3 linked regions of the Kluyveromyces lactis genome follow. The protein of the gene in region 2 purifies or fractionates together with the protein of the main gene of each other region. This does not show direct contact. Links are inferred from orthologs where the notes say so. Each region holds a gene or a part of one and is shown on either strand. Other genes may lie near its edges. The genes, in order: VID28, GID7 and VID24.

Evidence for each region.
Region 1: the proteins of GID7 (region 2) and VID28 purify together in Saccharomyces cerevisiae (affinity purification with mass spectrometry; 3 studies listed by BioGRID). This does not show direct contact. The link is inferred for Kluyveromyces lactis from reciprocal best matches to the Saccharomyces cerevisiae genes GID7 and VID28.
Region 3: the proteins of GID7 (region 2) and VID24 purify together in Saccharomyces cerevisiae (affinity purification with mass spectrometry; 3 studies listed by BioGRID, with this or other methods). This does not show direct contact. The link is inferred for Kluyveromyces lactis from reciprocal best matches to the Saccharomyces cerevisiae genes GID7 and VID24.

The regions. Positions count from the first base shown.
Region 1 is NC_006040.1:1,333,848-1,345,621, reverse strand, and holds VID28 (glucose-induced degradation complex subunit VID28), read right to left. Parts: upstream 5,482-11,774; coding exon 2,638-5,481; downstream 1-2,637. Other genes in the region: MET10 (sulfite reductase subunit alpha), read right to left, coding at 1-2,307; SNL1 (Snl1p), read left to right, coding at 5,990-6,616; aspartyl protease BAR1, read left to right, coding at 7,360-8,895; RIB5 (riboflavin synthase), read left to right, coding at 9,392-10,099; SQT1 (Sqt1p), read right to left, coding at 10,196-11,491. UniProt on the Saccharomyces cerevisiae protein: Component of the GID E3 ligase complex recruiting N termini and catalyzing ubiquitination of proteins targeted for degradation.
Region 2 is NC_006039.1:84,702-96,484, forward strand, and holds GID7 (glucose-induced degradation complex subunit GID7), read left to right. Parts: upstream 1-5,276; coding exon 5,277-7,430; downstream 7,431-11,783. Other genes in the region: protein disulfide isomerase PDI1, read right to left, coding at 1-592; GRH1 (Grh1p), read right to left, coding at 1,162-2,328; KLLA0_C01155g (uncharacterized protein), read left to right, coding at 3,383-4,828; ATG22 (Atg22p), read right to left, coding at 7,423-8,901; SRO9 (Sro9p), read right to left, coding at 9,217-10,707; KLLA0_C01232g (uncharacterized protein), read left to right, coding at 11,616-11,783.
Region 3 is NC_006038.1:828,288-838,774, reverse strand, and holds VID24 (glucose-induced degradation complex subunit VID24), read right to left. Parts: upstream 4,362-10,487; coding exon 3,360-4,361; downstream 1-3,359. Other genes in the region: KLLA0_B09658g (pyridoxine 4-dehydrogenase), read left to right, coding at 1-902; monothiol glutaredoxin GRX5, read right to left, coding at 2,082-2,510; SND3 (Snd3p), read left to right, coding at 5,620-6,192; NEDD8-activating protein UBA3, read left to right, coding at 6,498-7,439; ISA2 (Isa2p), read left to right, coding at 7,655-8,227; KLLA0_B09482g (uncharacterized protein), read right to left, coding at 8,349-8,933; AIM3 (Aim3p), read left to right, coding at 9,329-10,487. UniProt on the Saccharomyces cerevisiae protein: Substrate-recognition component of the GID E3 ligase complex recruiting N termini and catalyzing ubiquitination of proteins targeted for degradation.

The sequences.
Region 1 (11,774 bases), on a different chromosome or scaffold from region 2:
GTTTTCTAGCTTACTCTTCTCTTTGTCGTCAGTACAAAAATCGATCAAACTCTCGTAGAAGCGCTTTGGTGGTTTACCGAAAATATCAAGATTTTCGACGAAGGCTTGCAAAACGGTTCTTGACTCTAAGTAGTGATGGTCATCCTTATTTGGTACCTGAACAATGTCACTTTCATTCAAACCATAGTACTGCAAGAATTTTTGCACATTCTCCAAGTTGTTTTTTGCATGAACACCCAATGCTTCACCAATATCGTAAGTCATTCCTGTCCCAGAAATGTCAAACTCAATATGGAAAATGTATCTATCATAGTCATCTGGAGTGACACGTCTGTTCTCCTTAACTTTAACGACATAATTGTTAACGGGCAAATCAGGCCTCAATTGTTGTGACACTCCGTAAGCTTCTTGGAAAGTCAACTTCTTTGAAATTTCAGCGATCTTAGCAATTTCAGTCTCTGGTACTTCTTCGGTAAATCTCTGGTTTGCAGAGAATGAGGTTTCAGTGACAAAAGTTGGTAACTGATGGATTTCTTCTTCTTTTACTTCTTCACCCTTAGCTTTATCTTCAATGAATGTAGCGTAAACTTCATTTGGAATGGCCTTCACGCCAGTTTCAAGGGCAGTACTAATGGTATCAGACAACACAGCAGCAAGTAATTCGATATCAGGACCTGCTGAGTTCCAGATACGACGAATGATGCTCTGTTTGTCATCGTTAGTTGCAGCACTCCAGAAGACAGCTTGAGTGACGAAGGACAAAGTACGACCTTTAGTTTCCTCTCTGTCACCAATTGTTTCAACGTCGATCAATGTAACATTGATCTTCTTTTCAGCAACAGTGGTTAAAAATGCTTCGTTAATTTTCAATTCATCAGTGTAGAACTTCTTATCCTTTAAATCCTTATCAACCAAAGAGCTCTTCACCAATACAATGATGGAACCTTCTTGCTTCACAGTGGAAGCTACGTCATAAGCATTTAAAATGGAAATGTCTTCGACAACAATCACATCGGCAGAGTCGATATTAGAAACAACACTTTTCGACTTTGATGGATGCGAAGTGAACTGTGCTTGGAAGGTACCTGCATTCCCAATGTTGTCAAATTTCGTTCTCAAGGAAATATCAACATTATCGATCAATGATAGACCTTGTACTAATCTAGCAGCCAAATCCAAATTATTACTGTTGTCAGTGGTCCAGTAAATGAAGTTTTGGGAATTACTTGATATCTCCAATTCGAAACTTGGGATGAAACTAGTAACAATTTGCTTAACAGCCTTTGGGGACCAAACAAAGTTTGGCTGATAGATGTACTCGGCAATGGTTAAAGTTCTCTTGTTGTGGAAGAATAACGCACCTGAAACCTGAGATCTCAACCAGGATGGAGACTGGCCAGTTAGAGATTGGCCAATTACGACAATTTTCTTAACAGTAGTAGGAATCAAAGAAACAAATTTCTCAGTGTCAAATGGCAATGGGATTCTAACAGCAAGTACGCCGACCTTAGAGCCACTTTGATTCAATAGAGAAGCAAAAAGTTCGGTCTCCAAAGAACCATAAGTAATGAAAATAGTTTCAGCAGACTCATTACCGTAATATTGGAAGTTGTGCAGTCTCTCCGGGGAGTTCTCATTGAAAGCATCCAAGATCTGATCAAAAGTAGAATCGTCAGCTAAATTCAACGATTCAATAAATCTATCTTGCATCTTATCTTCCACTCTAGTGACAGTTCTCGCATATTGGGCACCATCAAATAACTGAACTGCACCCAAACCTGAACCGTATTTAGCCAATGCCAAGGTCAATAACGTGGTAGCTTTAACTTCGGAGATTTGCAATGGTGTAATGACAGGGAACCCCAAATCCTTTGCAGCTTTCAAAGGAGTCAAATAATCGTTGATTATAGAACCAGAAGCCTCATCATAATCCAACGAACCAACGCTAAAGACGAATTTCGACTGGGTGTCGATTTCTTGTTTGAAACTGCTGACGAAATAAGGCAAAGCATAACCTGGAGTGATAATACCAGCAAGGTCGGAAGAACCCTTAGCAAAACCCAAAGTAGTCAAGCCTGCACCTGATCTTACGTCCAATTCCTTAAAGAACAAACCGTTCTCTCTTTCAGCTAACTTTTTGATAGAAGCATCCAATAAATCAGGGTCTGAGAATGTTTTGTAACTGAAAATACTCTTCAGATTTCTGAACAACACAGAGTTAATTGCATTCACTGGTGTTGTGAAAGTTGGCAACTGAGTGCTCTCAGTTGGAAGACCAAATGGATTGGTCACATATGATAAAGACATTGCGTTTGCGTTGTCAATGTGATTGATGCTGCCTTTAGCTAGAACAAACTATCCTACCATTAAAAACTTATCGATGCAGTAACACACAAAAACACTTTCTACCTTTATATAGTTCTAACGTAAATACTGAATGTTACATCGCTGGAAAAAGCTTTTTCCTATAGAAGACTTGCCCCGGTCCTGTGAAGCTCTCTCAGGTGCACGCTCACTAAGCTTCGAGAGTTTCGCTTAGTTCGATTTCTTTTTCGTCATTTGAATCATAGAGCCACAATTGTGGGATATTGTCACGTGATTTTGCTTCATCAAATCACCTGAACAGGCGGAAGTGGCTCATGCATGTGGTGGAATAGTGGTCTTCCTGAACGTTTCCATTTGGTATAGTAGGGTCTTAGCACGTTCCTTTACGTCTAAATCGCCGTTCCAATCCAAGATTTTCTTTACTGCGTCATTGAAACCTAGCTTATCGAGCTTTTTGAACCTTATGATTGCTGGACTTAAAGCCGAAATGTTTCCAGTGGTAGTTGCTGGGCGGATGAAATCTTTATGAGGATCAGTTGAGTCCTCTTCTTCGTCATTACTTTGCTCCTCTTCGTCGAAATCACCTTCTCGCTCTTCTTGTTCTGGGACTTCTTCTTCTTCTGAAGACATGTTTGATGCTCGTGCATTTAATGGCATTCTAACGAGAGGATCATCGTTTCTGTCTTCGAGAGCTGAGCTGCTACCTTCTTGAAGGGCCCAGTCCGTGTCGAAGTGCGGGTTTCCGTTTTCTGGTAGAGAATTATTGTAAGGGACGTGCTGGATGGAGGAGTCCCATATTAGATTCGTGATTATCCAAAGACACGCTTTAGTAATTTCATCTCCCTTGGCCATTAAGATATATTCTTTCACGATATCTAGTAGTTCATCCTGGGAAATAACCAGGTTTCTCTTGTTTTCATTTATAGCGGTGAAATTGACCACTATATAGAGTAGTGCTTCAGCGATCTTATTGTCACTGTAATAACTGTCATCATGCAATACAGTTTTCAATTTCAAAGCTAAAAACCTTAGGAACTGGTTTCCCTGAGTACATGATTCATCTCTTCCACTGACTTCTCCACTGCCGTTATTTGTGTTCGCGAGCATATCTGTATGTTTGAAGGAATCTAATATCATGTTGATCACCTTCCTCGAATTACATGTCAAATTTCTCAACAATTGGAAACATTGATTTAGTACGCTGGGCTCAGCGGAATGCACAAATTGTAGGATTGATTCTAAGTCAATCTGAGATAACAATTCTAGTTTGTCGCATGTCTCTGAATTGTATATCAAATGCCTCAAGACCCAAAGGGAGTTCGTCTGGATGACCGTAATTTCGGAATAGACGCTTGCCTCGTTATGGAATACTATAATCGGATTCCCCTTTGCAAATTCTGGCATCAGGGCACGATCTAAATACTCAGAGTTGAATATAGGGTTGGTAAAAATGTGTTTAATCAATGCAATGATTCCGTTCTTTTTCATGAGCGTTCTTAAAGAAGAAAATTCGACAACAAAGTTTGACATTGCTCCTAACAATTCGCCTAGTAATATTAGCTCTTGGCATAAGAGGTGCGGAATTCCACCATCATACGTCATTGAAACGATTTCATAAATCTCTCTTGCTAATTTTAGAGTATAATCTGCTAGCTTATTTCTCTTCAACGATGTCCTTAAAACTCCCACACTTCTGGAGCAAGCCTTCAAGCACTTTGCCCAATTAGTAACTAATTCAGAATCAAAAAGCGGTGGTAAGGGTGCCATGTTCCTCAATTGTGTCCAATCCTCACGGAAATTGTTCAAGATTAGCAAGTGTGAACTGAATGCGTTCTCCATATATTGTAAAACCGCGATGTTCTCCAAAAACAATAGCCTACACCTTTCATCCTTACCTATAATTTCAGAAAAGAACTTTAGATAATCAGAAAGCAGTTGAAGTTTGTTGGTGTCTTGTTTCTCCAGGCTCAATAGTCTTAAAAAAGTGTCTATCATACCATTCAATAGATTCGAATCGAAAAATGTGTCAATCACAACATTTTCCGGTTTATGTGCGACAGTGAACTCTGTTGCTAGAGAACAAAGGATTTCTAAAGGGGAGAAAAATATTGGTAGCTCAGGTTCATTCAAAGTCGATATGAGAGTAGGTAACCATAGTTTTATCGGGAAGGGCAAGTTGCTATCCGTATTTGAGCCGAAATCACTTCTATTTTCCGAGTACCAAGAATCTCCAAGTTGACAATAGAAGAATGATAAAGCCGACGTTTTCAATCTTATATCAGGGTGTCTTAATAATGAAGCATAGAACACATTGACCTTCATATCCGCCAAGAAAGAGAACTGGTTTCCACCATTCGATTGCAATACTGTTAACAAGTTTGATATCACAAAAATCAATTGAACGTCAAAAAGGTCGCTAATATGCAAGCATTGCGGTAGGGATTCAAATGGTTGAATCTTTTGTTCACTTCCCGCTGAGCCCCTGCTCTTATTCATGAGCTGCGCACCGGTGTTGTTAGGATCGTAGAACACATCATAGTCCATGTCATATGACTCCTTGGCTGAAGTAACCATAGCGTATTTGAAATTGACTTTGGGCACATATTTATCCACATAGAAATTAAACACATCCCTCAAAATCAGCACTAGGTCCTGACTTGTCATTACAAATGGCAATGTGGATAAGTATGTCATATATTCCAATACGATTTCTCTGTATATAGATTCATCGGTCCGTATGAGACGCTCAGCTGCAAGCTTAAAGAAACTCAAAGGTTCCACATAATAGAATTCTTGGAAGAAGAACTGCTCATTTGTTTCCGCCTCCGTGCAGTTCTCTACACAGATTCTCCTTAGCTTGACATACTTAGCAATATCCTCAATCATGGAGTCATTTGGAATCTGCATCTCTAATACCCTAACAAAGATCTCCGTTCCATATTTTCCAAGCTCCCTGCAGCTGCCCTTGTCTAAGTGAGATAGAATCAATAAGACATCCAATTTTAAGGAAAGATAGTGTTTGTAGTCTATGATAGCATCAAACAAGTCCCTGTGATCTTTGTAGAAGTTGAATTTGGCACTTTGGTCACCGATGAGGCCCTTGCGAAGCTCCAAAAGCACCTGCTTCGTGACTCTCTGACGTTGCTGAGTAACCATTGTTGTCTTATTTTGCACTCTGGCCACCGCGCGGTTGTCTTTTGAAGACACCCTTATTCACTCTTTCACAGGTTCGAACTATGTCAAATCCCTTAACCGTGAATGTAGATATATGATGGAATAGCGTTCTTGGGCAAAACTACAAATAAAGGCAGAAAGGATACAACTTATGGTGCGATCTCACTAGTCGGGGGTGTTAGGATAGACGGATGGTACTAGGTAAGCGATTGATATGTGTATTTACGTATTTTGCTACGACTATGAGGAGAGATAGGAGGTTATTTGCTTACGGTCACGTTTATTGCACGTGATACGATAAACGAACATGCATAAATACTGGAATGGGTACACTACGTCCAGTTTGAAGTTCCATGACTATCAGTAAGCAGTTTCACATGTCTATTTGGTATCCTTAACCTTCTGGTGATACACCTCAGTGTTATTGCATTCGAGATTTCTAACTAGCACTGTTTCACGCAGAGATATATATTGTTGATATTATCAACATATGATGAAAAGTTTCACGAGATCAAGCAACTTGACAAGACAAAGCTGCGAAGTCAGACAGGACTCTGTGGTATCTCATCAATTGGTAGATAGTTTCCCAGTGGCCATGGATAAATTACAAGAATACGCACATGCGTGCTTGGTTGATTTGAGAAGAATACATTCTCTGGAAGATGCCTACCAATCAATGACAGTTAGAGTGTCCGGTATAATGATAGTGACAGCATTAGTGCTATGGATCTCTAGTGGTACGACCAAAAAACCTCGTGGGAAGAAGTCTAGAAAGTCTAAGAAGGGAAAACATGCTGCTAAGAAGAGCCAAAAAGAGATTGAGAAGGAGAAGTTGAAGAACATGTCTGAAGAAGAAACCATCAAATACGTTCTCGATAAATTTACCAACGAATACGAAGAAGGCTTGCATAAGTTGTTGGAAAATTACGATTCTACGTCTGAAACCATGCAGTACCAACGTAATTTCTACAATGAAATGCTTTTACACCTTCTATTGGATTTAGATGGTGTTCATCTCGGTAACTTGGAAGGTGAAAAGAAGGAACAGGTGCGTTTGCAAAGAAAGGCTGCTATTAAAAAGATCCAATTAGAATTGAAGAAGTTGGATAAGCTGTAATGATTGATAGCAAACAATAGATTGATTGGTGGAGTTTTGCCAAATACTGAGACACAGCCAGAGCAAGAGAATAATGATCTCAAAAAACAACGAACAAAGCAACCCGTATAGTGTCGGTGGTTTAAGTAACCGTGTATACTAATCTTAATGAATGATTCAATTCAATCTAAACATTTACGGGAATTTACTGAGGGGAATTGGAGCGAGCAATATATTGTACTAATGGCTAGACCTCTCAATAGACCAGGTCACCCGAGTTCATTCCACAAACGACAAAACACTACAAGAGGATAGAGGACATACTTAACAGCTAGTTTCAGTTCCTGCAGTTCCTGCATTCTTAATAGGCAGCATCTCATATGCCACGATGATGATAGGTACAGGGTTCTCAAGTCGTTCTTCATTTCTGTTGTATGTTGTAATACTTATTGTGGTAACCAAATCAGGTAATTTGTATGACAGAAATTGAAACTAACCGTGGAAGGTTATTCGCAAAATAGTTCTTGGAACTATGAGCAGTACTTGATAGATATTCACACTTAAGTTTAACCGTAAAGATCTTCAGTTTGGTTATGACGACTTAATTTCTCAAATAGGCAATTACACAGTGACATCTTCAAGACGGCCATTAATAAAGTAAAACATATATAAAAGTACTAATTGGCTCAGATAGTTGAATGATATCGTCATCTTCTTATTCCCAATTCATATTACATAGTTGGTAGGTATCAACGAAATACACCATGATTTTACCTTCTCTCACAATTCTATGTTTACTGACATCTTTAATAAACTGTCGTCAAATAGAGTTCGATCATGATTCAAAAGTCATTCAGCTGCAACTACTTAAACCAGCTGATAGAAGTCTACAGAAAAGATCTAAAAGTTTTGAAAGTAAACTAAATCCACAGGACTACTTTTATACCGTTGAACTTGGTGTAGGTACACCATCGCAGAAAATAAATTGTATATTCGATACTGGATCGTCAGATTTATGGGTACCGGCTAAGAGTAATCCATTCTGTCTAGGAAACAAGCTAGATACAAATGGTACTAATGAATTCCATGGCACAGAAATAACACCAATACTGGATTGCGATAAGATTGGCGTTTTCGACCCAGGTTCGTCCTACAGTCTGAGTGCAACTGGGTATAATTTCTCCACTCAGTACTTTGACGGCAGCTATTCAGATGGGTTTTGGGTCGTCGATGATATTTCAATTGCCGACCAGCAGGTCCCAGATCTGCAATTTGCAGTTGCTAATATATCAAGTGCTCCATCAGGTGTACTAGGTGTGGGACTTCCTAGACTGGAAGCAGTTCGTGGATACGATGGAGCCCCCAATGCGAATTACGATAACTTTCCGCAGACACTGAAAAGTAATAGATTGATCAATAGGGTGTTGTACTCGTTGTATTTCGATAGTGGAGACCTAGAAAGTGGAACAGTGCTCTTCGGAGGTATCGATGAGAAAAAATACGATGGTGTGCTGTATACTTTGCCATTAGTCAATATATATGAACAGATTGATGAACCCGCTGCTTTTGATATCACTTTACAAGGACTTGGAATAAGAAGTGAATCGAATTGTAAAGATACTGTCATCGCGCATAAAAAGGCCCCAGCACTACTTGATTCTGGTAGTACAATCATGGGAGCTCCTCAAGAGGCACTAGAAAGTATTGCCCAAGAACTGGGCGCTGCATTCTCGGAAAGCGACGGGTTGTATGTGTTAGATTGCCCAGCATCCAATGATGATCGCACATTTTATTTCGATTTCGGTGAATTGAAACTGAAAGTGCCAATACATGACCTCTTATATCTACCTGAATCCGGTCAGAATTATTGTGGGTTGGCAATAATTGCGAGTGGCGAAGAGTGGATCCTGGGGGATCTTGTTTTGAAAAGCGCATATGTAGTATATGACCTTGATAACTTGGAGATCTCTATTGCCCAGGTAAAAACCACGAGCGGGTCAAGAATACAAACAGTAAGTGCAACAGGCTCTCTGCCTCAAACTAGAAAATCAAATTCTACCCCCTGGAGTCTGTCTGGCAGTACCAACTCAAGTACAGACTCTGTATTTGATAAGCCTTTACCTAAGAAATGTCAAAAATCACCCTCTAAGACATGTCCGGCAAAGAAAAAAGGAAATAAAAGAGAAGTCTTAATCAATATACATGACAATCTAATTATGCTTGAAAACTCTGGTTCTTCTAGTTTAAGACCATCCTATCTGCTTTGCGCATTGTTAGTACTCTTCCATTCTCTCCTATGACCTTCTCCGGTCAGTGCTGGATAATGGTGAAAAAAACTGACGCAATAGCACAAACGACCGTTTGCCTACGTTAAGGCTTAAGAGCTTCTTGCATGAATATCACGGATCAAACTCTGCTTATCTGAACCTTTATTCCCACAGTTTAGCTTCATGGTAACGGCATTTGACTATATAAAGAATGAATCACTGACACTCAATGGACGTTTAAAATCAATATGTAGTTCAGTAGAAAAACACTTTTAAAAATACAATACAAACGCTTCATTATACCATTTTATCTGGGTGCCCTTGAACACCTCTGAAGGCATCACTCCTGGTCCTCTCATTGCCTTCCTGTTCCCTCCATGCTCTGCCTTCTCTTCACCTCATTTCTTTCACATTTTCAGGCTGTATGACTAAATGAGAAATCTCATGTCTGAGTAGAAAGTACATCTCGAGGAAACCTATGTTGGCAAGGAAGAGACTTACCAAAACATAGCCGAGTATAACCGCAAGAATGTTTACTGGTATTGTAGAACATATTGGTACTGTTGCTGAGTACAAAGAGTTGGACGAAACTCTTAGTGGTGGTAATGGTGTTTCGGTGACCATTAAAGATGCGGCCCCAGTTTTGAGTGATTGTCATATCGGAGATTCCATTGCATGCAATGGTATATGTTTAACAGTGACTGAATTCGATTCTAATTCGTTCAAAGTTGGTATTTCACCAGAAACTGTTAGTAGAACCGATATCAGCAGTTGGAAGACTGGAACCAAGGTTAACCTCGAAAGAGCTGTGTCTCAGGATGTCCGTTTTGGTGGGCATTACGTTCAAGGCCATGTCGATACAGTAGCCACTATCAAATCACGCACCGTTGATGGTAACTCCATAGTGTTTGGATTCAAACTGGGGGAACAATCTTATGAGAAGTTTATCGTTGAGAAAGGGTTCATCTCGTTGGATGGTACTTCCCTAACTGTTACTACAATTGACGACGATGGGACTTTTTACATCGCAATGATAAAGCACACTCAAGAACACGTTATCATGCCGTTGAAACAGGTGGGCGATCTGGTTAATGTCGAAGTTGATGTTACAGGTAAAGTTATCGAAAAGCAGATTGAAGTGCATCTACAAGCGCAAATTGCCGATTCGAAATCTTCTTTGAGTCAACTGATTGGTAAGATTGTCGAAGAAAAGGTTAGAAATGCCTTAAACAAATGATTGGGATGAGAATATATACGACATTGATGTAAATAAAATATATATCGGAAAAGTTTATGATGAAAGATCCCTTCCTAGTATAATCCTACCCACATTTCATTGTGGCAGGTCGAAAATTAATGATACACCCTCATCACCGGCAGTGATTAGCTTGGACCCGTTCTCAATGACGACAAAATCAAGCACACCCATGTTGTGTCCAACACAAACGTGTACTTCTTGGCCTGTTCTGGCGTCGAATATGTATACTTTACCATTGATGCAAGAAGCAATTAAATTGTGACCGTTGATAGTGTCGAATTGTAATTTGGTGGCAGAGTCCTCAAGTTGGAACTTATGCCTCACTCTCCAAGTTTTTGTATCGTATAATAGTGCGTCGCCACAAACCAAACCGATTGCCATTAGAGGCAGCTTGCTAGACCAAGTGATGGATTCTATCGATGCATCAAGTTCATCTTGTTCTGGTTTTAATTCTATTACTGTGGTCAAATGTAGTACAGATCCGTTGCTACAGTTGATAATGGCCAACAGCCCATTATTTGACCCTGCAGCAATGACTGCAGTGTTATTCGTTAGGGAAGCTGGAGCTGCAGACAATGAGACCCAAGGAGCTTCTAAACCTTTAATATCGGCTTGAGTAATCTTGAACAAAGGCTGACCCATGTAACAGTTCCAAGCGACAATTGAGCTGTCCAAAGAACAAGTGACCAAAGTCAAATTGTTCTCACCTTCTTCTACATTAATGAACTCACCCATGGTACAGTCCTGTTGATGAGAGAAACCGGACATGATCTGAGACAACGACCCATCCACGTTGTTCAACTGATAGCACCATACCGATCCGTCAACACCACCGAATGCAAAAACACCCGATACCGTTGGATGTACTTTTAACCACACAACTTCTTCCACTTCTTCTAACTCGCTACAACGTTTCCATTGAGCACCGCCCTTCACAGACTTATGAATAAATACCTTACCGTTCATATCTGCAGTGATTAAAAACTTCCCATCAGGTGTGAACCCACCAGAAATCACAGACTCAGTATGTTCTAAGGATCCAGCAAACTTAGGAGGTTTCGAATGAGAAGTCCACAAGTTCGCTACGTTGTCTGCACCACCGGTCATCACTAGGGGCAAAGTAGGGTGGTGTGCAATGCAAAATATAGAATCAGTATGCTTATCGAAAAATCCACTTGAATTATTAGACATATCGATCTCAAGGGTCTCAGCACCATCTAAACCGCCCATCTCTTGATCATTATCGTCATCATCACCAATATTCTCACTAGGTTCAACGTTATCTAAGACAACTTCTTCACCAACTTCCTCATCTGCAATGAACTCTTCTTCAGGAACATTGTCCGCTGTATTCAATTCGGTGTTGTCCATGTTAATCAGTAAACAACTATAATTCTCCGTGAGCTGTGGATTAACAGTGGTATTCCGATCCTTTAACTAAGCCAGAAACAAACAGATATGAACTTTCAATACACTTTGCATTAGTAAGTCATCTTCAAGTGATGAGATGAGATGAGCTTTAAACTGAAATTTTTCAGTGCTTAAAGAGAAAGAAAAGGACGTAAAAGAAACGCAAATGTGCAAATATGGTCTAATTGGACTATTATAGTCAGCTTGTACTGTTCAGATACCATATAGCTATCCTTCGATCATT
Region 2 (11,783 bases):
ACTTTCCATCACTACCGTGTTGAATGAAACTGTAGTCATCTCTTAAAGAATCAGCGACTTGGTAGAAAGTTTCATTGAATTCTGGAACGCTACCGTCGACAACATAGGTGTTATCCAAGTTCTTGGCAATAATTTCATTGAAAGCCTTTTCATCTTCTACAACTTGCACAGCAGGTTCAGATTGCTTCAACATGTAGTTGACAATAGCCTTAGCGTCTCTACCACCTTGGTATTCACCAGCAGCCTCTGGGTTACCGTTCTTGAATAATTTCAAAGATGGGTAACCTGGGATTCCTTGCTCTTGACAGAATTGTTGATTTTCTTGACAATCAATTTGAGCCAATGGAATATCTTTAGATTCCAATTCATCTGCTGCTTTCACATATTCTGGTGCCAAAGTCTTACAGTGACCACACCATGGAGCAAAGAATTCGGCCAAAACTAATGGATGCTCCTTGATAAATTCATGGAATGTATCAGCATCTAACTTAACAACAGCAGAATCCTCTGGAGCAACAGCATCTCCTTGAGCAGAACAACTAGCTGCCATCAAAGCAGCCAAACCAAATCTAACGGTATTCTTGAACAACATCTTTGTCTTTGCGATTCTATCGATCTCTTATACTATCAGACTACACCGAAACTAGTTCTTGAAAACACCCGATTCCAATTGCGTGCGTTGTAAAAGAGGAAAGATTATCAACGGAGTTGTTAACTTGACGGAAAGATCAAAAACTGAATGAATGATAAAGTACAGACTTATCTTTACTCATAATTAACTATTAACACGAGAAGATCGAAGTTACATGGCAAATCTAGTTTATATATACCTTTTTTTTCTTTTACCTAAGGTGGCCGTGTACTTGGAGGCAACAGTACGAAAACTCGAAAAAAGCACCAAAATGACAGAGTGGTATTATGGGAAGGATATGTACATGCGGGTAACGAGTACTCTGAATTTCATAGATTATCGTTGATCTTTTGACATTACGTATGCACATTTACCGATCGCTGCACCATAGAAGTTACTAGATGAGAGCGGTTGTTATACTTGATGGTATATACAATTGAAGTATACTTTATACTTTAATATATCGATATAGCAGAGCCCTTAAGGATCTTACTGCTTCTGTTACTCTTTTTTTTCTTCTGTATATTGATTCAGTCTGAAGCCGTATTACTAGCAGTAGAAGAAGCTGGAGGTGGAGGAGGAGGGGTTGCCTTTGATGAGGATCTTGGTGATTGATCTTTTCCCTCTTGGAAGTAGTCAGCCATTGATGCTGAAGCAGCCGCAGCATTGGTAGTGTTCGAACCGCGGTGAAGCTGTGCTTGTCTTCTTCCAACCGGAACTGGTACCTGAAGTGGGTTTGAAGGCATCGTTTCTTTATTATCCGCATTATTAGCCAACGTCGCAGGAATTAAAGTTGGTTGTGTAATTGGGTGGATGATGTTGTTTGAATTGTGAGATTCAACGGCTGCTGGAGAGTGGATAATTGATTGTGAATTTTGGATAGGTGCCGGGATTCTGTGCAAGAAACCGTAGCCAACGTTGCATCCAAGCCTTCCGTCAGCAGCAAGGTGTACCGTCACAGGTCTTACGCAATCCACGGCTTTGTTGTATACGTATAGTACTAAAGAATGGTTCGCTCTTGATCTGACAATGTCTTGTAACAGATGCTCACCGCCAGTTGCTAGCAATCCATCTTGGCATGCGATAATGTAATCCTGATCTGGAATCAATCCTGCTTGCATAGCGGGTCCGTTTTCAATGTTTAGTTGTAAAACATGGTAACTATACGTAACAGCGATTAATGGGGTCCATTGCACTTTGAAACCTAACGCTTCAAACATCTTAGAAGTCATTAGGGATTGTTGCGCATCTGTTTCATCCAACGGGATCTCGCTCACAGAGTTTTTCGCCGAGACGTAAAGATACTCCTCTCTGTAAACACCCCCTTTACCAGACCATACATGTAACTTGATAGTGTTGCCACAATGCTCATTGAAGAATGATATAATCCTTTTATAATCTGGGTAGAACGTCTGTGATGCACCCATGGTACCATCCTGTACCAAGGGGATCGGTTGGTTATTGAAACCAATGATATAATCAAAGAACGAAGTTAATTGCAATTGCGACTCGTCAACTTGTACCACTCTTAAACCATATAGAGAATCCGTTTGATGAGCATATCTAGGGTCATCTTCCCTTATCGGGAACAATTGTGGTGGTACTGAATGAAAATATGAATCAATAGGTTTGTCCCCAACCGTTCCAGTAACAGACTCTTCAAGAGTTCTGACAAGATTTTTCGCTATTCTGAACATAATTATATTGCAATGACAAATATAACAGTTTCAAATCGGATAGCCGGTGTGCCAAGGTACTGTTGTAGGATCACCCCAGACTGGACTAGATTAGATCAGACGAGTATTTTCTACATTCAACCTTTGGCTAAAGATTTCAAAGAAAGAAAACATGCAATAGGAAAACGGAAACCATTTTGGAGTTTTCAGAAGCATTTCACGTGACCTACAAACAAAACGCTAATGGTTCATTTCATACCGGTGGAAATAGCAGCCAAACATCAACGTAACGCTCTGACAATGGACTATCGGGCATGCTAGACGATCGAGATAGTCTTTAAGTAGAAACGACAATCTCTACCTTCAGGAGCCTTACAATTTTCTCACCTTCTTCCCATCCATTCAACGCGAAAGGAAACTTAAAAGTACAATTGCAAATGTGCTACATAGTATTATCTCTACATTGTTTCGACTGACGTATTCAAAGCTGAAATAGTAGTACTTTGAATTCTTTTTATCAGTTTCAGGACTCTACATTCCCACCCCACCTAATTAACAACCTGCCTTTCAGCATTGATACACGTGAATTCCCGGTGATTGCCCAATCGGTAGGCAAGCCGCGAAACGGCTTTTAAGGACACTGGTGCGTATCTATCCACAACAACGAGTACAGGTTCGTATATACATGTATAAACTGGTCTAGCCCAGAGCACTCACTGGTTCGTATATACCATGATCTTCTGAGCCAATACACACATTCGGCCCATAAGGTCAACCAAAACGTGACCCCGCATTTTCTTATGCGTCAATAACGTTGTTTGTTCGAGTAGCCAAGAGTAACGGTAACGGCGACCGTGACTAACAGGTGACAATTTTCAAATATTCTAAAAACCGTGAAAAAAACAGTTTCAACTGGAGATGGTGCGCAGTTTCTTCTACTTTATAATATAAGAGAGTGACTGTAGTTGAGAAAGGATAATTCATACTTTTTACTTTGTAGAAAAGATCAAGGATTCTTGTTAAAGAGTAGACAAGACACGACAAGACAAGCTAAAAGAATAACAACTAGAGCATAATGTCAGATCCTAAGTTAACCAAGGCGGTTGATTCTATATGCGATCAGTTCATTGTTACTAAATCGAAGATATCTCAGTTGACTGAGTATTTCATCGATTGTATGGAAAAGGGATTAGAACCCTGTGAATCAGATATCAGTCAAAACAAAGGGTTGCCTATGATTCCGACGTTTGTGACTGACAAGCCATCCGGTCAGGAACATGGAGTAACCATGTTGGCAGCTGATTTAGGTGGTACTAATTTCAGAGTTTGCTCTGTGGAACTATTAGGTAATCATGAATTCAAGATTGAACAAGAGAAGTCAAAGATTCCAACTTTCTTCTTCCAGGACGATCATCATGTTACCAGTAAGGATTTGTTCCAACATATGGCCCTGATCACGCATCAGTTTTTGACTAAACATCATAAGGATGTAATTCAAGATTACAAATGGAAAATGGGTTTCACTTTTTCATATCCAGTCGATCAAACCTCCTTGAGCAGTGGTAAGTTGATTAGATGGACCAAGGGTTTCAAGATCGGTGATACTGTTGGGCAAGACGTTGTTCAACTGTTCCAACAAGAATTGAACGATATTGGGTTATCAAATGTTCATGTGGTTGCATTGACTAATGACACTACTGGAACCCTATTGGCTCGTTGTTACGCTTCCAGTGATGCGGCAAGAGCCATCAACGAACCAGTAATTGGCTGTATCTTTGGTACTGGTACGAACGGCTGCTACATGGAAAAGCTTGAAAATATTCACAAATTGGATCCAGCTAGCAGAGAAGAACTTCTGTCTCAGGGGAAGACCCATATGTGCATCAATACCGAATGGGGCTCTTTTGATAATGAACTAAATCATTTGCCTACTACAAGTTATGATATTAAGATTGATCAGCAGTTCTCCACCAATCCCGGGTTCCACTTGTTTGAAAAAAGGGTCAGTGGTCTTTATTTGGGTGAAATACTTCGTAACATACTACTAGACCTTGAAAAACAAGAGTTATTCGACTTGAAGGAATCTGTTTTAAAGAACAATCCCTTTATTTTAACCACAGAAACTTTATCACATATCGAAATTGATACCGTTGAGAACGACTTACAGGACACAAGGGATGCTCTTTTAAAGGCTGCTGACTTGGAGACCACCTTCGAAGAACGTGTCTTGATCCAAAAATTGGTAAGAGCTATTTCCAGGAGAGCTGCATTCTTAGCCGCAGTGCCAATTGCTGCAATTTTGATCAAAACCAACGCTTTGAACCAGAGTTATCACTGCCAAGTAGAGGTTGGTTGTGACGGTAGTGTCGTTGAGCACTATCCAGGATTCAGATCTATGATGAGACATGCATTAGCACTTTCTCCAATTGGCCCCGAGGGTGAACGTGATGTCCATCTACGTATCTCCAAGGATGGTTCCGGTGTTGGCGCTGCTTTGTGTGCTTTGCATGCAAATTATTAATTTTAATGACATTTTTTAAACATTTTGATTTGGTTTTAATTCCGCATATAATGCAGTTACGTCTATGAATGACTTTAAAGGATGAAAAACAATAACAATACATTCGCTACAGAGCACCAAACGCACATTTACTTTTATGTAGTTACAGTAGCCAGAAATCTGTTTAATGTATTCAACTCACTCTCTTATAACTTTGTTATGTAAGCTTACTTTATCTATTGGTATCGTACCTTTTTTTTTCCTTTGATTTACAACTGCCCTTCTTCGAGAAATCCCTTAAAAGACAATTTCATAAAATTTAAACCAACCCTCACTGGTTACTTCACGAAAGAATAGTTGAAGATAAAAGAGTTGCTACAATCATTTACAGAACTCATTGACCAAGCAAAGCTTACAGAACAGGTTCTTTAATCACAAATCACTCATAGGTTGGTCGAAATTAAAAATTATGGCTGTTCAAACCGCAGGATCAGACGTTTCACAGAGCAATGCTTCTGTCAGCACTGTCCCTACTAGCCATGACTCGTTCATTCCTAAATATACCAAAAAGCCTTTGTCACATCTAGACATTGACGGATCAGATCAACCTTTCGATCGAGTGCAGTTAACAAAGTTGTTGATTGATGCTTTAAAACAAATCGGATATGAAGAAACTGCAATTACCTTACAAAAGGAGAGCGGTGGGATATTGGTCGAATCAACTCATGTGAAGTCATTGTTTTCTGCTATAAAAGAGGGTAGGTTTTACCACTGTACGTTGGATCTATTGCTTCAGCTACCCATATTTCTCGAGTCCCTTGAACTATCAGGTGACTTATCACATGTCGAATTACCCCAAACAAAACGCAACATTTCAACCACAATAATTGACCACTTTCTCGCTGAATATGAGAAACTAGGTTTCGTGATGAAACGTCTGTCCGAATTCAAGGACGTTGATATAGTTAAGTTAACTATATGCGTGGAAATGCTAGTTGCAATTCAAACTTTGGCTTTCTCTGAGATTTTGATGTCAGATAGACGAATGGCCTTGGAATTATTAAGGCTTGTCATTAGACCTACGATCTCGATTTGGGATACGTTGCTAACACTGCAAACAATGAAATATGACTCAGAAATACAGTGGCAAACAGGAAATGATGTCATGTATTCCAACTCTTTTTCCTCTTTCCAACCTGAACACTTATTATCGCAGCTTTCTACCTTGATTGTATGTGGTCAAAACTCCAATGCTGCACCTTTCGTTACCAGAGAGGCCACATTTGAACACATCGCTCACTTTATTAATCCTAATGATTTAGTTCCTCGTGGTAGATTAATGCAACTATTGAAACAAGCAATTCAATACCAACGTTCAAGAGATTTGTTAAGCTTTCATATTGAGGATTCATCAACTGGTACTAAAAGAAGTGCTTCAAGTACCTATAATTTGTTACAGGATAATGTTACAAAATCAACTCAGTTTCAATTTGATAACATCAAAACATTGAATCGCAACAATGACGAAATCTGGTTCTTACAATTCTCGTCAGATGGGAGATTTTTGGCCAGTGCAAGCCCCTCAAAGAAATTCGAAAGGAAAATCATCATCTATGATGTAAAAAATAACTTCGAAATATATGCTATATGTTGTGAAACTCGTCAGTCTGTTTTATATCTTAAATTTTCCCCTGACAACACGAAATTGATCGCATGTTCAATCAACTCCGCTGCAAAAATATATGACCTAAACCAGCTATCCCCCCCTACATATGATGGCTATTTATGCGAATATGATCAGCTTAAACCTGTAGCATCCGTATTTGTTACATTCCCCACGACTTCAGATTCATCTGCCATTTCATCTAATAATACACCAGCATCAGCTGAAACTATGAGGTTATGGTGTGGAGATTGGTTCCATGATCCCGAATTGAAAGACTTCATCGTATTAGGTTCTCCGGATTCTGATGTAATAATTTATGACATGAAAACGGCTACCATTTTCGCTAGAATTTCGATGACTATGGGAGAAGATTTAAAGTCGTCCTTCCCTCATGTTCATGATATCAAGATTTCATCTGATGATAATGACTTGATTGTGATGAATAATGAGAAGTACATTGATGTGTTTGACATATCAACGTTGAAATACTGCATTAAAGAGAATGCAACGTTCGTTTCTCCCAGAAAGAGACGATTATTGATCGGTAAAAGAATGACTGGAATGCAGTTCCCAGACACTTCTCAATGTTCTCCAGATCCATCACTATCATCATTATTACTAGTCTCGATTCAAAACCAAGAGCTACAACTTTGGGACTATCAAAGAGATATTTTAATACAAAGGTACATCGGTCAAATCCAATCAAATTTCATAATACGTTCATGTTTCGGTTATTATTCAAATTTTATTGCAAGTGGTTCCGAGGATGGAAAGATTTATTTGTGGGATAGGTTCTATGGTAATATCATTGGTGTAATACCTGCCCATTCGGAAAATTCGACAAGTTCACAATCAAAGATATGTAACATTGTTGCATGGAATCCTCAAGATCAAACAATGTTTGCATCCGGCGGTGATGATGGTCTAGTTAAAGTATGGAGGGTATCTGCTACATAGTAGACAATTGTCTAGCTTCTCTTTTTCCTCTTTCCACGTCCAAACCGTGGAAGACTGGTAGTGAAACCACCAAAAAAAGGAATAACAAGTAAAATGCATACCTAATATTATGAGTTTTATCTGTAATTAAGCCGATCAACAGTGGTCCTAGTATTGAGGAGCCTTTATCAGTTACACTAAAAAGACTGAAAAATGTAGATTCTTTCCCACGTGGTACAAGCAAACTGAATAACGAACGCGACACAGCAGCTAAGCCTCCCAAGGACACACCATACCACACTCCCAAGATATACATCTCAAATTTGTGTTTCAAACCAATGTTTTGGAATACAAATCCCGTCATCCCATACAATGGAATAACACTAGACCAAATGATTATAATGATCAAAACCTGCTGCAAGGGAAGTCTCAAACGTTCGCTTAATAAATGGGGTATGTAGACAGCACCAAGCATTGCCATAACCATCGTTATGATACTTAGAGTAATTAGATTTATAGCTGTCATCTTCAACTCCGTTTTGGCAAACAAAATGGCAGTAGAGTTAATTGTCGTCAAAGAATCAGATATAATAAACCACCCAATGAGAAAGATTACCACGTCTTTCAACAATCTTGCGTGCTTCAATGACTCCCACAATGAGTTCCAGCCGTATTCCATATAATTTCCGGTGTTGGCCCATGTAAACTCATGCTGTTCTTGATCTGTGTCACGGGGGATATCCTGTAACAAAAATGCTATCGGTATTTGCCACAGTAACCACCATAAGCCTACAAATAGAATCGCTATTTGAAGATTGTCGTGGTTTTTGCTTTGTTTTACCAACAATATTGAAAATAATTGTACGATAAGCGCACTGAAATATCCATAAGAAGCACCACGACCGCTTATAATAGAAGTTTTGATATCAACTTCCAGCTGATCTTCATTTCCAACCAAAAATCCCACAAACACTGGTAACAATGAGTTTCCTACAACATTAATGACTCCGTAGCTACAATTTCCGACTATTGCAAGCAAAGGTAATACGTAGTACTGGTCTGATCTAAGTGTACCAATAAACCATGTCGCTAAAGCCCCAACTGTTCCAAAAAATAATAGGACTCTCTTCTTAAATGCTATGCTCTGACATTTGTCGACAATACCACTGACGCTGATTACTAGTAACGTCTGAAATAGAACACTTAGGGAAAAGGTATATAATGCAAAGCTAGATGTATCAATGAACCATCTTCCATTAAACATAGGTAGTACGCACTTATCATCATTCACTTCGCATCTGAGACTATGATCATCCAATTTAACACCGTTAATCCTACCAAACTGTTCTAACAATAATGGGACATACGTGGAAACAGCGCTGACTATGAAGGGTTCACTTGAGAAGCAATAGAAATACCATCCCTTGATATTACGTTTGGCTTGATCAGGTATAAAAGCCGAATTCTCGGCAGGAACTGCCTCATAACTCATCACGACGCAAGTGTGGTGTTTGTTTTCGAGCGCGCTGTGGTTAGTGTTTTGGTGTGGTAATGCTCGACTGTCTAAACTAAACTGTTTCCCTTGAAACGTCCTCGAAATTAAAGGTTTTTTTTAAGTGAAGAGAAAGAAAGCATTTCACATAACGACTATTTTTACGCAAAGCAAATATTAAAAAAAAAAGTGGAAGTTGTTTGATTAACTGTGTGTGTATATATATATGTTATTATGTGGATGAGAGCTTGATTGTTAAATATAATATGCAGTGAACGGGTAGAAAATAAAAAGAGTATATTTGACAAGGGAACACTATTGTACAGAGACTTCTTGGTTTTGATTTTCTTGATTTTCTGAAGATTCTTGTTGATCTTGATCTTGGTTTTGCTCGTGTTTTTCAGTAGATGAGTTTGGTTTGAAGGATGGTAATGAATCTATTATTGGGTTGATTGGTTCAATTTTAAATAGCTCTAATTCATCGCTGACGAATTCAACGGTGTCGTAAGATTTTGGTTCAGAAATGGATTCGTCAGCAGTCCAAACTTTAGAACTTAATGCATACTGGAACAAAGGATTCCCAACGACATTTTCGAAAGGTTCAGTCAATTTAGCAATGTTGACATTGGAGTTTTCAGAGTTTTTCAATTCTCGTAATGCAGCTAGAATCAATCCGACATCGCCGTAAGATAAGTTTAGCATACGATGGAATCTTGAGATCAATGCCAATGGAACGTAACCTTGAGCATTCATTTGCGATTTTAAGAACATATCTTTGCTCAAGTTCTGTATGCTGAAATAATATTGGATTTGACGGACAATCTCATTAACCAAGACGTACGATGGGGTATAATTCTGTTGGTACATTACAGGAGCGTACGAACGTTGACGTTGATACTTTGAACCATGGTAATGATTCTCATTATTATGGTTATTTTTGTTATGCTGGTGGTGGTACCCATGACCATGGTTGTTGTGGTGATTTGCGTTTCTTGGGTAAAATGGCTTAGAGTTAGGAGTAAAGCGGCGTTGCTGGCTTTCAACTTTCTTACCATCAGTTTCAGCAGATGGTGGAGCAGATATACCGTTTTCGGAAGAAGCTTCAGAGTTTGAACTGGATGCCGTTTCTGGTCTCTTGTCCGCTTGGTTAGACTCTTCAGTATATCCGTTTTTAGTGATATCAGAAGAACCCGAGGCAGAAGCAGGAGTAGTTCCATTGACAGAAATCTTTTCGTTGGTGCCATTCGAGCTCGATGTCTTGTTTGTCTGGCGATCCTGCTTCTTTGTTGCTTTCTTTTCGCCTTCAGAGTCCTTTTTGGGCTTCGCGGTAGAGTCTTTACCCTTGGTCTTTTTGGCAACCTTTGGCTTATCCTTCTTGGTCTTATTTTTCAGTTTTTTACCCTTACCGCCATTAGCATTACTGACATCAGGAATTTTGTCTTTAACAGTGATATCCACATCTAATGGAACCCATCTTTCCTTACCGGTCAAAGACGGAGTACCTTTACTACGAGACTTGCTAGAACTGGAGACTTTCTTATTTTTAGCCGCAACAACCTTTGACAAATCTAAAGGCTTATATTCAGTGACACCGGTCTCTTCCCAAGGAGACTTTTTTGGCAAAGGTGCCAACACTAACTTCGGCTTTTCTCCTTCAGAATCAACACTGGAAGATTCTACATCATCATTAGCAGTGGCAACAGTAGTGTCGTTACTACTGGCAGTAGCAACCTCAACTGAAACAGCTTCAGTTTCATGCGGAGTATCAGTAACAGGAACAGTGGTAGTTGTAACAGTTTCGGACATATTGTTTCTCTAACGTTTTCTCTCGTTCCTTCTATATTCTCTTTCAAACAACAATCTGATGATGACTAAAACACTCTTAAGCCAAATTTCAATGCAGTTATATTTGCTTTCTTTACGTGTCGGATCAAAACTTAGAACTAACACTTACTAAGACAACTCCAAAAAAAATGAGTGCAGGAAATAACTTAATGTAAAAGCTTTTTATCAATGCCTTTGGTTCTGTCAAAAAAAAATAGTACACCGCTTACACAGAATTATACTTGCCTTGGCTTGTTCACAATATAGTGGTGGAAATATAGTATTAGTCTTCCAAGAGGTTACTGGTTATATAATTTGTTCATATCTCATCGCATATCTTTTGTCAATGATTTTTCAAAACTGAAAAAAAAAAACGAGAAGCGAAGAGCATCAGTGAGCAAAGTTAGCTTCAAGAAAGAAAAAAGTGCGTGGTGCGGTGTAAGGGTTTATCGATTTTCTACCCTGATAATATGTTAGAGTTTACTTCACTCATACAACCAAAGGAAAACGTTACTGAGATGTGAGCATCAGCGGAGGCAATTGAGGCTCGTTGTTGTAAGAGAGAACACTATTTGACATACTAGGTACTGTTTAGATGATTGCTGCTGTACTAAGTTGAAATTTTGAAGTCAAATGAAAAAAACATGGGAATTTAATCACAACAGGTGTTTCTTTAGGCAATTAAGATTTTAAGGTGCGCGACAATTCTGCTCAGCTCAAGACGATAAATCACACAAAGAATACATTGATAAATTGAGCAGTATCAGATTCACATCGAGGAATTAAGCGGTATTATTTACTTACTATTTCGTTGTGTTAATCCAAAGATCTATATTCGTCGAACGAAAGAACCACGGAGAGAATATAGGTGTTTTAAGTGTGTGCAGGTCATGTCAGACATTGATTTGGATTCTTATTATGAGGCACTAGGCGTCAAGACTCCAGAAGAAATATTGAAAGATTGGGAAAGGACCTCTCCGCCAAGAAAATTCGGAGACAATTCAGAAGAGATCCAGTATAATGGGTACGTCAGAAACCAACTAGCTGAGAAATTGGTG
Region 3 (10,487 bases), on a different chromosome or scaffold from region 2:
TTCTTGAATTTACTGGTGATAAAAAGGCGTTGTTCAATGTTGGTGAATTCTACGGTGAACCTTTGAGCAACTACAAGTTGTTGCAATCCTACTTTGACAAGTATCCGGAAGATCGTGAAAAGGTAATTATCAGTGCTAAAGGTGCTGTTGACTTGCAAACCTTGAGCCCAGCCGGTGATGCTAAGAGTGTTAGCGCATCTATCGAAAACACTCTTAAAGTGTTCAATGGGTATGTGGACATCTATGAGCCAGCAAGATTGGACCTTGAACTTATAAAGAAGACTGGTGAATCGGTTTTCCCTCGTGAAACATTTGACACCATCGTTGAATACGTCAAGAAGGGTAAAATTGGTGGTATTTCATTGAGTGAAGTAACCGCTGAACAAATCAGAGCCATTCACAAGGAGTATGGTGAATATTTAGTCTGTGTTGAAGTCGAATTGTCCATGTTTTCTGCTGAAATTCTCTCGAACGGTATTGTCGACACTTGTAACGAACTAGGGTTGCCAATTGTTGCCTACTCTCCATTGGGTAGAGGTTTGCTAACTGGTGCTTTGGCCAAGAGCTCTGATATCCCAGCAGGTGATTTCAGAATTCAATTGAAGAGATTCCAAGATGACGCGTTCGCTCACAACAAGTCTTTAGTCGAATTTTTAGAGAACGAAATTATCGCTAAAAGATCTGATAACGTCACTTTACCACAAGTAGCAATCGGATGGATCCGGGCTATCAGTAAGAACTATCCAAATACTAAAATTATTCCTATTCCCTCAGGAACAACTGTGGACAAGGTAACCTCTAATTATAGTTTCATAGAATTATCTGACGAGGAACTAGCAAAGATTGACAAATTTTTACAATCTTTCAAAACTGTCGGTGGAAGATACGAGATGATTCGTTAGATATTATGTTAATGATTCCATGATTTTACGAACTTGTCAATATGTCACGTACCAGTGTAGCTGAATATATCCAAACAAATATAAAAAAAATGTTATCATATTCTAAGAAAGCAGGTATGCCAATGATATCGCCATGACATAGGATCAGCAACCAACTATAGAGCGTTCTATTTTATTTCAGTTTCTGTCATATGTTTCTGTCATTTCCACTGACACTGAAATAATACTAGTAGAAAAGAATGGAAAAATTATTAAAATAGGTAAAAAAATTCAAAGTTAACAATACTTCTTTCACATTTACTTTAATCATTTGAAGTATTGAAGTCTGGTAAAATTGGTATCAATTTGGTCTTATGGCCCAAGATAACAACTGATGTTCATCTCTGACTATCATACTGGCTTCTGGTGAGTTATCTATACACTATCTCCTTGAAGTTACGATAATGAACATAGATCAAAAGTATAAAATTACCACATAAGTCTCAATGGATCATTATTCCGTTTTGTCATTATGGTAATGGTCTATCAGAGTTGGTAAACAGAGCATTTTTCTCATTGTGTTTTAGTATATAGCCAGAGGAAGTGTACGTTATGAGATGGGATGCTACTACGAAGGCAGTCTTGCTCAGTTTTTCAAGGCTGAGAAGCTCGAAGTTAGACTGTTCATGTGATCAGTAAAAAGATCATAAAAAAGGACCCAGCTCAGCAGCGAGACTTCTATGAACGATACTTTTTCTCTAGGTTCTACCGAACCATCGTCTTTCTTTATTTGAGTGATTTCACGTAAACGGGAACTTGTCGTGCCTGATGTGCATTTTTCTTTATGTCCATCACTGGCGGTGCAGTAATGTGTTCGACTGGATTGTTTAAGTACTTCCGACTGAGGGCGTTACATGCATTAGACATTTTCTTTGAAAACGTTTACGATTTTTCAATGTGAATTCACTTTCACACAAGACGAAGAACAAACTTGCACGAATTTGGTGACAGAAATTTACAACTGCCACCAAATTTTAAGATCTTAACTTCAAAAGAGCGGAGTTTGTGAATACAGTGTCCATTATTCACAAGTCTAAAGGCATAAGATCATATTTCCTCATAAAATCAATTATAAATATTGCAGCTTGTTATAGACATACATAGTTTTTTGCAGCCAGAGTTGCGCCGAGTGAAATGTACTTAATCTTCTTCTTCTGGGACCAAAGCATCGGACTCTTCCAACAGTTTAGCTAATTCACCCGTTTGAGCCATGTTCATCACAATGTCACATCCACCGACAAATTCCTTGTTAACGTATAGTTGTGGGATGGTTGGCCATTCGGAGATTTCCTTGATACCTTCACGTAACTCAGGGTCTTCAAGTACATTGTAAGCAGCAAACTTCACTGGATCGACACCTTGTTGACCTAACATATTGATTGTAGCTCTAGAGAATCCACATTGTGGGAATTCTGGAGTGCCCTTCATGAATAAAACCACCGGTGCTGATTCAATAGCATCTTCAATAGCTTTCTTTGTCTCTTGTGATATGAATCTTTGGAAACTTAGATGTGATCTGAAAGCAGGACGTAGGAGCGGACTCTTAGTGGCCAAAAATCTTGAGAACATTGTTGGTATTGGAAAACCTGAGCGAAGCGATTTTAACTGTGAGGCTAGTTTACTGGGCTTGAAAAAATATCAATCAAACGTTGGAAGGAGTATCGCAGTTCAGTATTTCAGTATTTCTTTATATGTTGGTTAGAAGTGAAATATCGAATTATAAAGTTTCCGAAATGTTTAAGCCGAGTGACTAAGAGGATAGAGGGCAAAAAACTGAAAGACGAGTTGAGAAGACAGTACAAAACTATGAATTCAGTGAATGGAGTGGGTAACCTTGAATTACTTTGGCATCAAAGAAGAATCGTTAGATATTCAGAATGTTTGGAGGCCAAGTTTAAGGTGAATAAAGACTGTGATGAGTAAGCAGCACGTGACATGGTTCTTTGCAATGGTTCACAAATCCCGATATGAACTGAAAGTAAAACATTTGTGCAAGAAACCAGCTCGTATGGCGCAGTGGTAGCGCAGCAGATTGCAAATCTGTTGGTCCTTAGTTCGATCCTGAGTGCGAGCTGTTATTTTTTTGCCCCTTCTTCATCCTCATCGAGGGCCTCTTTTTTTTTTTTCATGACGTTCGGTTTCTAGGAGAAACAAATCGAGCAGTAAATTGTAACGATGTATATCCCATTATTTATATGACATTAGAGACGTGATTAGGTAGAAATGAAAAGTGAAAGCGTAAATTGGTATTAGAATATTAACTGAATTAATGTAATGTGGTGTAGAAGTAAACTTGAACTGAAATTTGAAGTAAATGAGTGGAGCAAGGAACTTGGTAAATTAGAAGAGACAGAAAAAAAGAATGAAAATAAAACACCCCATGAAAGATGTGGTTTTATTTATTTTAATGTCATTTAATTATGCAAATTCGAATGAACAATCTCCGATTGATGGTTCTTGTAAAGGTTGCAATTCTAACTGTTGAAATCTTTCAGCATGTTCATGGTAGTAGAACCCCAGAATGTTACCAAGTAATTGATCGTGTACTATGTAGTAGTAGCCGTCGTAAGATGCACCATCTATTGATTCCAAATCGGCATCAGGCACCAGGAATTTCTCATTCCACCTCATGTAAAGGAACCTTTGATTCAAGTAATCGGTATGTGAGTAAGTACCATCGATGATAGATTGTAGAATATTCTTAGAAGGATACTTTGGATCGTTTTGCATGCAAAGTTCTTTGAAAGATGGGAAATTCAACCAATGCTCCAAATCAGTCTGGTCCGAGGCCTTATAGGACGCATAATCTATTGGGATATCTTTGGATAGAAACCCTAGAGAATCCGTTACGGTGATGGATTCGAAGAAAGTGGTGATCTCGGGATTTTGTACCGTGAGACCCTTTATAGAGAGGAATCCAGTCAAATGAGGCGAGCAACAGTTGGATTCGTTATCATTTGGTAAAGAAACAGATTGGATAGTGATCATGACTTGGAACTTCTTGTATCCCGAGAGTTGGTACCCAACAAACCGTTTTCTAGCCCCTAGCCAATGAGTTCTTTCGTGGTTCTTGGGAGTCTGAGGTCTCGATCTAGGAGGCGAGTTCAAAGATGGTGAGCATGAGTCCTGGATATCGTAATCCTCCGAATCTTGAAAGTTTTCATGCGAACGCCGTATCGAATTGATAGAATCGTGAGACCCAGTTCTGTGCAGCGAAGTGTTCCTGAAATATGGGTTTCTATGGAAAAAAGGAGTCAAAGGCGCAGGGAATGCTATAGGTGATTGCTGTTTTTGCTGTTGCTGTTGCTGTTGCTGTTGTTCCTGGGTCTGACCCTGACCCTTATATGGAGACGAGCTACTCGCCTTGGCGAGTTGCGTCTCCAACCCAGAGCTATGCGAACGTGTATCTTCGTTGATCATCTGTAAAATGTATGAATGTATCTTGCCTTACAACTTGTAAGTTGTAACTAGTTTTCTAAAGCAAGTAACTAACTCACTTGACAAAGGCAATCTGCGATGAAGCAGCGAACAGATTAATACGTCCAACAATAACCACTCGGTATATATACATATATATAGTAATAATAATAATAATAACTATCTCAATCAAGAAGGTAATATAAAAAGCATCACCAGGCCACCTTTAAAAAGCGAAGACCAGATCGACATCGATAAAGAAATAAGAAAAAGAGATAAAAGGAAAAGAAATAAAACACGGCAAAGAAACCGACAATGAAACACGCGGAAGAGGAAGATTTCCAGTTCCAACCATGACTCTATCCTATCAACTGGACTGGGAAAAACCAATGAACAAGGCAGAGACAGAAGTAAAATGGCTGCATAGGTGAAAGGAGTGACACATAATGGAAAAAAGTAAAAAGAGAGTAAATGTGTTCAGGAGTGAATTATGATCGAGGTGCGAGTCTGGTGTTGAAGGAAAAGAAACGGGGGGAAATATCGAAGAGACTGTGCACCGGTTTCTGGGCAAAATACCCGGAAAAACCTTTCGTTTTGGATTTTCTTTTTTTCCGGCACCAAGTTGGAACAGAGAGGTACCCAACGAAATGGCGGAGGAAGAATCAAAGAAGGACCAAAGTTCACAAAAAGAAATACGAGAGAATGTTGCTACAGGGGAAAGGAACATTCACAGACATAGCCCGATCCGGTTTGTTCCGAGGTGCGGGTAACAACTTAGCGCAGCTAACTCTTTCTTTCTCTACGCTCGGTGTATGCTGTCAAAAAAGTGTGGCTCTTCTAGTCACGTGATTACTGTTATAACGCGCCCGCTTATGTTACCCGGATATATGTATATTTGCTATATTTGTATTTTCGCCACCGTTCAACGTTATTCCGGGTAACACAATGGGTATCTCTCTCATCGTCAAAAGATTTTCTCGTCACTTCTTCCACATTCAGACTGGAATTTAAAATAAAATCTGTATACCATCTTTTCACATACGTATCTATTAAATGATGCACTACTACTTGTTGCACGTATTATCGGAACTACTCTTTTTCAACTTTATATACTTACTGATTTATGTATGCCTTTTCTAATAATTAGTTAGTTAGTTGTCCTTTGTCCACTGGAATCTGCCGTCGATAAGCAATTCATAGTTAGAAGAGAAGTGCTCTTTCTTACCAAGCCAATCCCAGCTGTAACTCTCTAACCACCACCATGAATGCTCAAATCAGTAACCTAGTCATCATGTTGATCATGATGCAAGTATCTCGTCGTTTGGATATGGAGGATCCTTCGATCGTGTTGTACATCCGTATCGCTTATGTCGCTTCTGTTGCCATCACTTGGTCCATCTACCAATACGCTAGAGCTCAAATCGTTAAGAAGAACGATTTGGCCACTTTGAAATACGTGGCTCCAGCTAACCCATTGGGTGGTCAAACCGAGAAAAAATTGGAAGTCACTACCGTTCGTGATTACGATTTACAACAGATTGATTCTGCCATTAAATCCATCTACACTGGTTTGGCTATGATGGGTTTCATGCATTTGTACATGAAATACACCAACCCATTGTTCATGCAAACCATCTCACCAATCAAGTCCGCTTTGGAACATAACGAAGTTCAAATTCATTTGTTCGGAAAACCAGCTTCTGGTGATTTGAAGAGACCTTTCAAGACTCCATCTTTGTTCGGTGGTGCCGGTGGTGCCAGTGAACCAAAGACTGACAAGAAATCTATCGAAACTGCTGAAAAGGCTGGTAACGGTGGTGTCAAAGCTGAATAATCGGGACGCGCATCGTTGCGTTTTCCAATCATGTGTTTTCTTCATCCATCTCTCACCATTCTCTTATAAATAAACACGTATATATGTATATAAATGTACATGCGTGTATGTATACAACTATTAAGATACCTCAATAGGATGTTTTATCGTAGCTTTTGTTCAGTTTCTTTCGTGTTTAAGTGTTAAATTGTACACATAGACTTCGCACTTTATTTGAAAGAAACGTGAATATTATTCTATAAAGATCAGACCCAACCCTTAACTGTTACTGATCGAGCCGACCAGATCAATATCCTCCAAGCAAAATGGATGTCAGTGATGTAAAAATATTGATCCTTGGTGCCGGTGGTCTTGGATGTGAGATTGTCAAGACATTGGCGCTGTACGGTTTGCCAGAATTACATATTGTCGATATGGATACCATCGAATTGACCAATTTGAACCGTCAATTTCTATTCAGTACCCGTGATATTGGCAAACCAAAAGCGTCTGTAGCTGCAGAAGCTATCAATAGATTGCAAATACCTTGCAAGAATGGAGTTACAGGTTTTGTGCATGTGGTGCCTCACAATCAAGATTTGACTCAGTTCAACGATGACTTCATCTCACAATTCGATATAATCGTATCCGGACTCGATTCTATCGAGGCAAGACGTTGGATCAACTTCAAATTACACGATGTAACTGTCAAATCCAACTTCAAGACCGTAATACCTTTCATAGACGGTGCCACGGAGGGACTTATGGGTAACTGTAAGCTCATAGTGCCTGGGTTCACCTCATGTTACGAATGTTCTCTTTCCACGCTGCCGCAAAATACAGAAACTTATCCGCTCTGTACACTTGCATCCAACCCAAGAACCCTAGCACACTGCATTCAATACGCTTCCATCATTCTCTGGCCTCGAGAATTTCCTAACAGACCTCATGACTTGGAGTCTCCCGATGATCTACAGTGGTTGTACGAAAAATCATTACATAGAGCGGAGGAATTCAACATACACCATTCAACTCTAACAACAAGATACGTTCTGGGCGTACTAAAATCTATTATACCCAGCGTTACTACTACAAACTCAATCATTGCTGGTCAATGTTGCAAACAAGCTATCGACTTACTCACTGATAAAATCGATATTGAGACATGTCCAACTTTCACGATGTATAATGGAGAAGCTGGTGCAACCATGTTCTCTTACAGGCATGAAAGGGATGCTAGTTGTACCGTGTGCAGCGTGTTCGCATAGCACATGACATATAATGGTTGATTCTATATACAGTTCGCTTCACACCCTCGCCAAGCATTATATACTGTTTTTAATGATATTCCCGGCTCATAGGCAATATTCCTCTTATTATCTTGAATGAAATTCTTTAATAAGCGAAACGATGATTCAACTTCACAAGTACATACAATGAATATCGTAAAGACATACAAGAGAGGAATAGTGAGCCAAACAACATGTGGCCAGTACGACTATTACCATATTCTAGGACTCCTTTGACGCTTGCACCCCGGATACTGAACCAGGTCCCCGTTAGAGCTGCCTTGGGAGTACGCTGGCAATCATCATCACCATCATCGATATTGGATACTCCGATCAGACCAGCAAAGATTATTAATGAAGTACCGGATCTGCATTTTAGCATCACCAACAGAGCTTCCAAGAGACTGGCTGAGATATACAAGGCTTCAAAAGAGATTCTTAGGGTGACGGTTGAATCTGGTGGATGTCACGGATTTCAGTACAATTTGAAGCTGGTACCGGAATCTGACAAGAAAATCGGTAACCAGGAACAAGAAACCGATGACCTGAATGACGAAGATGATTTTGAGACTGTTAAGGATATCGTTTATGTATTACCTGATTCCATCGGCGAAGTTGTTATTGATGAGCAGTCCCTAAAGATTTTGAACGATACCACTCTCACATATAGTACCGAATTAATCGGTTCCACTTTCAAGATTACTGGAGGAAGTATGACCAGTAGTTGTGGATGCGGTAGCAGTTTCGGTTTAGACCAGGAAACATGATGTTCTTGCTTTTTTCAACATCCTATTTATTATAATGCAGTGCATGACCCCACTCCCCCCATATTGATGGGCTAATGACTTATATTCAAATGACATTTTACATATATGGTAATGTGTATAGTTAAACTATGAGGTTCTTACATCCTAACAAATATTCTAATAGAACACCATTGGCATTTGATGAGTCTGGTTGCTCGATATATGTCGATCGCAGTGTCACTCTCTGCTGGACAATATGTACTGTTTTTATTGGGAACTCTTTCGAGATCCCTAACCTATCGCTTAATAATTTAGGTAAAAGATGCAAACCAGCGGGGAAATCGCTGACGTTCACTTGGATTTGAAATTGATTCAATAACTTGGTGTCCCTAGTCATATAATCGATTTTCACAACGTCCATATTGGATGTAATTTCTGTTAAAAACTGGTATACAGTCTCATTGTCAAGCTGTAAGGGCACCAGGTACACCTGGTGTTTGCTTAATGTCTTTGTAATCCGATTATCCTGTTGACTATTAGTACAACATACTGTATCACTCAAAAATACACGTAATTCGTCCTCAGAATTATCTATAAGCCAAATTCCTTCTTCACCATCTATATCAGCCACATCAACATTGCAGAACTCACGCAGATCTTCAATGAGCACATCGATCCGAATATCATCTGGTGAATGATAAAAATACCATCGCTCCAAGCCATTCATCTTTCGAGAAAGGAAATTATATCAATGACCAGCAATATTACAAGAGATTGACCTCTGCTTAGATACACGCTTCTCGGTCCTGGGAAACGACAACTTACCCCTGCATTCTTTTCATCTTAGGGTAGTAGTAACCTTTAAACCTTCATGTAGATCGGCTCTATGCCTTTAACAGCTTAAATAGTGAAAATCAAAGGTTTTGAGAAAAAGATTCAAACTGAACAGAATTTGACTCCTAAACCGAAAGGGAAATAAAGGAGAAGCAAGAGTTTGGACCGGTATAAATCAGTAGTTCGTTAGTTATACATTGTATAGCGCGATTGCAGAACATCATTATAATACGGAACACTCTTTCGTCAGCGGTGGCAGTTTTCTCAAGTCTTTGAAGCGCCTTATTCATGAGTAATTTTTGGGATAATAACAAGGGCAGTATTATGTCTGGTCTGGCAAGCGCCGGAAAATATGGTTATCAGGGCACGAAATATGTAGCAAAGGCAGGGTATAAGGCCAGTAAGACGCATTATAACAATTCCCAAGGCAAGAAGAATGTTGAGGAGAGTTCCGATGAAGGCTATATGAGCGAATCGGCTTCAGATTTGTCTCATTTACAAGATCCTAAGATGTTTCCACCGCCTCCTTTAAAACCGGGACAGAAACAGATATCCAGTGATGGGACTGTCATTGATGCTGGTAACGCTCCTCTGGTGCATACTGCTGCTGTGCCGATGGCCAATGCTGCTTCACACCCAGGGTTGCCTCCAAGAACACCGACAGCGAACAGTATTCCTATGCTTACTCAGCAACAAACGTATCCTCCGCAGAATATGTATCAACAACAACCGCCACCACAACCGCCAATGCAACAGCAAGTACCACCACAAGTACAGCAAATCCCACAGCCAGGGCAGCAGTTATCGCAGCAGCCAATGCAGCAGCTTCATCCTGAACCAATTCCTCCAAGAAATTATCAGACTGCCGTAGAAACGCCCCCACAATATACCCCTATTCCATCGCTTAATGCACAACACGTACAAGAACAACTACAACAGCAGTTACAGCAACAGTTCCAACCATCAATGGGTACCCCTGATCAAGGCCAGGCATTAGTCCAAGGCTCTCCCTTGGCGTCGCAACAGCAGGTTCAGCCGCAGGTTCAGCCGCAGACCTCACAATATCAGTCTCAGCAGGTACCCTCGCCTCAGATTCAAAATCAAGGGCAACTAATGCAACAGCAACAAAACTACTTTCAACCTCAACTGCAGCAGACTCAGCCACAGCAGTATATCGATTCCTATGCTCAGTACCAGCAACAAGGGCAGCAGCAAGTTCAACCGCAGATACAGCAAATGCAACCTCAGGTTCAACAGCAACCCATCCAACAACCTCCGCAAGCACAACCGCAGTATCAACAGTCATATCCGCCACAGTACCAACAACAAACCCAATCTTTGCAGCCACAATATCAACAACCAGTTCAGGCTCCTATTGTACAGCCTCCCATTCCTCAACAGGATTATTATCAGCAACAGCAGCAAACTCCTTACCAACCTGCATCTC